Mus musculus: one gene and its partner. The protein of the gene in region 1 purifies or fractionates together with the protein of each later gene. This does not show direct contact. Links are inferred from orthologs where the notes say so. Each region holds a gene or a part of one and is shown on either strand. Other genes may lie near its edges.

What was found.
Region 2: the proteins of Tbpl1 (region 1) and Gtf2a1 purify together in Homo sapiens (affinity purification with mass spectrometry; 5 studies listed by BioGRID and IntAct, counting the BioPlex papers as one, with this or other methods). This does not show direct contact. The link is inferred for Mus musculus from reciprocal best matches to the Homo sapiens genes TBPL1 and GTF2A1.

What each region holds. Positions count from the first base shown.
Region 1 is NC_000076.6:22,710,840-22,714,662, forward strand, and holds part of Tbpl1 (TATA box-binding protein-like protein 1), read right to left. Parts: intron 1,253-3,823; 5' UTR 1,210-1,252; coding exon 1,075-1,209; intron 1-1,074. UniProt on the Homo sapiens protein: Part of a specialized transcription system that mediates the transcription of most ribosomal proteins through the 5'-TCT-3' motif which is a core promoter element at these genes. Seems to also mediate the transcription of NF1. Does not bind the TATA box.
Region 2 is NC_000078.6:91,565,425-91,569,247, forward strand, and holds part of Gtf2a1 (transcription initiation factor IIA subunit 1), read right to left. Parts: intron 2,847-3,823; coding exon 2,713-2,846; intron 2,437-2,712; coding exon 2,116-2,436; intron 1-2,115. UniProt on the Homo sapiens protein: TFIIA is a component of the transcription machinery of RNA polymerase II and plays an important role in transcriptional activation. TFIIA in a complex with TBP mediates transcriptional activity.

The DNA of each region.
Region 1 (3,823 bases):
GCCGCAGTGCTTTGAATGAGAATGCTCTCCATAGGCTCATAGGTTCAAATACTTGTCCTCAGCTGGTGGCACTGTTTGGGAAGGAATAGGAGCTGTGGCCCTGGAGGAGCTGTGTCACTGGGGTTTGAGGTTTCAGCAGCCCAGGCCATTCCCAGTGTCAGTCCCCCTATGACCCTAACTCTGCCACACGCTTGTGGATCAAGATGTGAGCTCTTGCTACTACTGCCTGCCTGCCATGCCTGCCTGCTGCCATGCTTCCCACCAGAACTGCCTGAAACTATAAGCCCACAATAAACTCTTTCTTCTATAAGTGACAGAAAAGAAACTAAGACACTAGTCGCTGTTGTTCCCTTTTCTCTACGAGCCATGTGGACTAGGGTGACTTTTATTTTGCATTTCCCATGTTTCTACTGTTTCCTGGCTGCATTTTTCAACATGTACTTTATCAAAGCCAAATGCATATCCACTGTCAATATAGCTGACATCAAATCACTAACATTTTGTTACTTATTAATAACACTAATGCTTTTAAATAGATTAAAGAGGTTTAATAAAACAAAATCTTACACGTAGGTTAAAACACGAATCACATTCTTTTTTTTTTTGTTTGTTTTTTTTCGAGACAGGGTTTCTCTGTATAGTCCTGGCTGTCCTGGAACTCACTTTGTAGACCAGGCTGGCCTCGAACTCAGAAATCTGCCTGCCTCTGCCTCCCGAGTGCTGGGATTAAAGGCGTGCGCCACCACACCCGGCACGAATCACAACTTATTTTATTTAGCAACTTATTTTTAAAAATATAACTTAGCTAACTAAAAAGGAACAGGAAATTTACATACAACAGAATTAAAGTAGGGTTTGAACTAGGGTATACAGCCACCAAGATGCAAAGTCAGTCCTATCTCTTATCTGTACCTGTAATCTCCAGGAGAAGGGCCATTTCTACAGGGCTCCATGCTGCCCAGTTACACCTAGCATAACAAGGTGCTCACAATTCATCTGCACAATACAACAGTACCACTCAAAGCATGGTCAGATCAGGCTAGAGAGTGCACACACTGAAACTCAGACACTTACCCCAACATCACGCTTATAAATTACATTTGCTCCCTCCAAAGCAATCTTCCTTAAGTTCAAATGGCATCTTGTTCTAAAAACACAGACTACATTTGTAATTAAAATGTCCAATGCAACATCACTGTCTGCATCCATTGGGGTAGTTTAGAAACTTGGTTCCCACCACGAAGATCACATCCTGGGAGAGAAAACAAAATAGTCACTGAAATTTTATGTTCTGCCATTTTCCACAAATAATCTTAAATGTCACAGTAGGTGCAAAAAAATTATCTTTAAATAACTTTCAATCCTTAAAAACCAGTAACTTTTACATGCAAGAATCACCCCCATGTTTCATGTGTGCTCTAGTTACAGTGAGAAGCCACGCATATCACACTCAAGGACTGGACTTTGTGGCTCTGAGTCCTTGTAGGCACAATACAAAACCCTAGCATTTAACAAAAGGATTCAATTCTGTGCTGTGAATCCCTGCACTTAGGAGGCTGAGGCAGAAGGACTGCCCCAGGTTTAGGGCTAGCCTTGGGCTAATAAGGTGTGGCCCTATTTTAGAATATTAAGAAATAAAAATTTCTAAAACCTGTATACAACCATATAGTATTCAGTTCTATATATTAACCAAACCATAACCTGACTGTATGTTTTCTTGTATCTTTGGCCTTTAATCTGCATATCTTTCATTTTCTGTTCCATGTGTACATTTGAGCTCCTTTAATCCTTCACTTAGGGTTAATGTAGCCATATTTCTAAGGAGAATTTTAATGGTTATAATTATAGAATCCCTTTTTTGTACCATCCTATTTGACCTGAATACCAAGATTATATCAGTTTTAGAAAACTTAGGGTAGTTCTTATTGTTTTAAAATTCTCTGGAAAACAATATAAAAGAGCTTATTTTCAAAATATTTGAACTTGTTATTTGCTTGAGATTTTTGGAAAACGAATTCAGTATTGTTGGTGTTTTAAGACAACAGACACTGTTTCCATCGCTCTACTGTTTGGTTTTCCTCGGTTGTTCCTGAGCGGTGCCTACCCACCTTGCTCTGCAGCTCACACTGTGCAGAGGTGAGTCCTTCCTTCCTGTGCTGAGTAAGCTGACCCTGTCTTTGCAATTTTTTTGGCCTATGCTGTTTCATCTCTGAGATCTGTTCAATACATCTTCTAAAGTGAAAACTACTTAAGCTTGAATTCCTTTCTCTTTTTTAAAATAAACGCTGAAGGCCATCATAATGTGCTGCTTCAGCGTTTTTCTACCTTGGGGTATGTTTTCACTGCCTGTCAATTCTAGTAACATTTAAAACTCTGTTAGTGTTTCTTGGATGAGTTATTCAAAGTTTATAATTTTATAAACATTCTTTTCTTTTCTTTTTTTAACCTTACTAGTTAGCAGCTGAGGAAATGCTAACTTAAAAGAATGTGATAACATTTATCATGGCAAATAACTGTCCTAGCTCTAATATAAACATAACAGTATTCTCTTATAATTTAATATAGAAATATTCTACAAAAGATACTGTGATAGTGGGTTATCAGAACCTAATATATAATATATATGTAACATGTTTTATATATATATATATATGTGTATATATATATATATATATATATACACACACACACACACATATATAATACACACACACACACACACACACACACACACACATATATAAAAAATGGAATTTCTGCCAGTTGGTAATACTGAGCTAAGCAAAGAATAAATACAGAGAAATTGCTAATAACTAAAAGTAACTAGTTTAAAACAGCATAACACATACTATGAAATATACTTTTATTGTGTGTGTGTGCGCATGTGTGAGCATGCTTTCAAAGGTCAAGAGGCATCAGCTCCCTTGGACCTAGAATTATAGGTGGTTGTAAGCTACCAGGTGGGTGCTTATATCTGAGCTCAGGTCTCTGCAAGAGCAGTAAGTAACACATACTTAATCCCTGAGCCACCTCGTCAGCACCAAGATATACTTTATGAATCGTACACAACACAAAAGCTTAGACAGAGCTTCATGTTGCTAGTGTGTCTAGTGACTCAGATTGGTCAGTGGTTAAGAGTACTGGCTGCTCTTCTCAGTTCCCACATCGGAGGCTTACCAACATCCTTAACTCCAGCTTCAGGGACTCTAGCCTCCCCGGCCTCTGTGCAGCACACACTTAACTAGTATGGAGGCCTGGAGAGAATTTATTTTGGCTGTGTGTGTGTGTGTGTGTGTGTATTTATGAATATATGTGTATATACACACACAGATACATATCATATATACGTATCAAAATGTTAATGTCTCTATTCAGAGCATTAGCATTTCTGGTAGAATATGGATTTCATTTTTGATTTTGAACTAGGCTTTCATGTAGCTTAGGCTGTACCTGAGGATGAGCATCAGCTTGTAATTTAGCAACTGAGCTATACGCCAGCTCTGAATCTGAATTCTTAAATCAACAAATCCATACTCGGCTTACTGTTAAAAAGTAAAGTAACTTCAATGTAGGTATCAACAGCTTGCACACTCTCTGTCTAGGCCTTACATTTAGAATGGCTTAACTGTTTTATCTCATTTTCAAGGAAATGCCAAGTATGACTTTGATTGGTCAAATATCTCCAAATAAACTGTTTAGAATTACAGCTGTCTTGTTTTCCTGAAATGCTACGTTCCTAGCACTCTGTAACATACACACGGAAGCAGAGCGCGCCTTCCCCTTGCATTGACTGTAGACAACACAGCATCTATCTTTAGGTCAC
Region 2 (3,823 bases), on another chromosome or scaffold:
CCTCGAGTTTAGCAAGGCAGGGACAGAGGTGCACAACTTTGATCCTAGAACACAGGAGGCATTATGTTCCAGGCCAGCCAGGGAGACTTAAGGAGACCCTGTCTCAAAAACAATTAAAAACAAAACACAGGAAGAGATTATATAATTTTTTTAAAATACAAATCCTTTCGCTGGGCATGGTGGCGTATGCCTTTAATCCCAGCACTTGGGAGGCAGAGGGAGGCAGATTTCTGAGTTCCAGGACAGCCAGGGCTACACAGAGAAACCCTGTCTCGCAAAACCAGAAAAAAAAAAAAAAAAAAAAAAGAAGAAAGAAAGGAAGAAAGAAAACAAAAACAAACAAACAAAAAATCTTTCCTAAGGATACTATCAATATAAGAACTGGTGAGAGGATTATGAGAAAAGAAATTACAAAAGCGTTCATACATATTGACATAAACTTCTGTCAATGTGAGTATAGCAGTTAGGGAGAGAATACATAATGACCAAGCTGTGTCACATAGAGAACTCAAGACTGGTTTGCAAATTAGGACCACTCAAAAAAATTCATAAATAGCCGTCTATGAGTGGGATACAGCAACCAATGGCTGCAGAAAGGCATTTCATAATAAAATACATTTCCTTATAATTTAAAAAAAAAAAGCAAAACACTTGGTGCTCACTTAGCCCCAAAAGACATCTATAAGGGAAAACAACAACAAAAACAACAACAACAGCAACAACAACAACAAATACAGTTAATCATAGAACATTATAAAAAAATCTTCCACATTAAAACACAAAAAAGTCAACGAAGGCATTAGTACAAAACCATGAGGCTGGCGCAACGATGACTATTACAAATTCTGTACATGTCTATAACGCAAGCAAGCTGGAGAAACACAATGTAATGTAAATGTCACTTATGAAAAGACTAAGATTTGGGAAAGGGTTAGAAATAATGCACACTGGCCATTTGACACAGTAAAAATATAGTAACAAGCAAATGCATGCAAAGCAACTGAGGCTCCTGAGTAGTTAAGGAAGTTCCAACTAAAGACACCACTTTTCAGACTGGAAAAAACTCAACAGTCTGCCACTATCAGGAATTGATAACATACTGACATCTACAAGTTACAGACATGGCAGGATAGTCTCAGTCAGGTCAGATGGCAAGTCCATGTTCGTGTGTAATACTAAAGAGAAACTCAGGAGCTCGCAGAACACAAGCCACCCAAATGCTCACTAGATCCAGAAGAGGGCAATCAAATTATAGTACAATCAAGAGTAAAAATGAGCTATAGACTGTGACCTAGATGAACCTTAGTGACATCATTTTAAGAAAATTTAACAGAAACTACATTTAAACATATTGTACTTCTGCTATACATGGACAAGAAAACTCAAGTAGAGGCAGAGGCAGGCTGATTTCTGAGTTCGAGGCCAGCCTGGTCTACAGAGAGAGTTACAGGACAGCCAGGGCTACACAGAGAAACCCTGTCTCGGAAAAAAAGAAAGAAAAGAAAAAAGAAAAAAGTATGAAGATCGGATTATTGAGGACCTGCTATGGAATACAACAAAGGCCAAGCATGGCTGTGGCTGCATCTGTCACATTCAGTTTTTCTCCAGGTTCCTCTCTCCCCAGACCGTCATACCTTTTTAATCACTAAAAGACATAATCAATTACATCTATCTTTTTACCAATACATTATGCTTAAACCACATTTCAGATATCTTTGATCTGCACTATCGTCACTATCCCTATTAATATAGTACCCACTTGATACACATACCTTTAAAATGAGCGTATAATAGTTACTGTTAACACCATCAGGACCTATATTGTATTTCCTGGGAGATGTACCTCACTCAGGGCATATCTATGAGGGATTATCTAGGTCCTGAGCATGCCTACAGTGGACTGTGATAAAAATATTAACTGACTTAGGAAGACTCACACGCCCAAGTGTACAGCACCACACCCTAGGCTTGGGGATTTGACAGTATATGGAAAAAACTAAGTGCGAGCATCCACCTCTCTCTGCCTCTGGGGGAAAAAAAAAGCATATAATTTGCATGCTTAGCAAAAGTGAATGATGAGTGCCTTTTCTTTTCAAAGCTTTTATAGAAACTTACTTCTTCCACCTGCCCATCTTCAGCTCCATCTTTCTCTTTATCTTCTTCCTCATCATCATCATAGTCTTCTTCTTCATCTTCATCTTCCTCAGAAGATGTATCCCCTGTTCCATCAACTTGCAGCACCAACGGAGCTTGCTGTTGGGCAGGCTGGGCCTGTGGCTGCTGCTGTCCGGCTGCAGGCATCGGCGCTTGTGCCGGGGCGGGTGCTGCCACTGTTGTAGGAATGACCTGAGTCTTATTTCCTGTAAATAAGATTTGCTGTGGCTGGATGATGACGCCTGTCTGTGGTGAAATCCCTCCAGGAAGTGGGGCTAAGACCTACAGAAACAAAATCACCAATTAGAAACCGGTTAGAGGGATCAAACGTCCAAAACCAAACTAATAATAATTCAGTTTTAAACAGGAGAAATGTACATTAAGCTTGAAGGCATATAATCTTAACTCAGTACAATTGTTTCTGACTGCTGCACACCTATTAACTTGTCTGGGGGAAAGAGTGGGGAAGCACACAAGAAAGTCATACAACTCCAGCAGCGGCAGAGGCAGAAGCCCAAGGAAATGGATACCACGGGGCCTGTAGGTTATACTGCTTACCTGCTGGATAACAGGAGCTTGGACTCCACCAGGCTGCATTTGTGGTATAACTTGTTGTTGTAGAACAACTGACTGCTGAGGCTGCAAGATATACTGGGCACCATTGGCTGCTCTGACCACCTGAAGCAGCTGGCCTAAGGCAAAAAAGAATATATCCAAGTTGCTATTTCAGTAACAATTAATGCACCAAGAAATGTATACTGCTTTCAAGCCAAAGAATCTAGAAATTACCAAGTTAGAAGACAAGCATCCTACTAAGGGGTATCAACTAACATGAGCTATAACCATTCCTGTTCCCATCTTCCTTGTATATCCAAACAGCTCAGTGATTACAAGCACTGGCTACTCTTCCTGGGAACTAGGGTTCCATCCCTATCACTCAAATGGGAGCTCACAGGCATTTCTAACCCCAGTTCTAGGGAATCCAATGGCCTCTCCTAGCACCCCAAGTAACTGCAAACATGTGGTGCACAAGCAGGCAAAATACCTATACATACAAAATTTAAAACTGAAATAGAAAACTTTATGACAGCCTTAATTACTTTGGTCCCATGGTAGTAGCCAAGGAAGTGTAGTAAACAGGATCACACATTTCAGCAGTTGTTCTTAAACTTTCAAGATACCGGGGCTGCAGAGATGGCTCAGCAGTTAAGAGCACTGACTGCTCTTCTAGAGGTTCTGAGTTCAAATCCCAGCAACCACATGGTGGCTCATGACTACCCATAATGAGATTTGATGCCCTCTTCTGGAGTGTCTGAAGACAGCTAGTGTACTCATCGTATATATAAAATAAAGATATAAAATCTAAAAACAACAACAACAAAAAACCTTTCAAGATACAAAGGTATAGCATCTCATTTATGTCCTAAACCAAAGCAAAAGCTTGGCTTAAATTTTCAACATGCACCAGGTGTGGTGGCGCACGCCTTTAATCCCAGCACTCGGGAGGAAGAGGCAAGCGGATTTCTGAGTTTGAGGCCAGCCCGGTCTACAGAGTGAGTTACAGGACAGCCAGGGCTACACAGAGAAACCCTGTCTCGAAAAAAAACCAAAAAAAAAAAAAAAAAATCAACATGCAATGAAAATTTGCTGAGCCAATTAGAATGCCAAA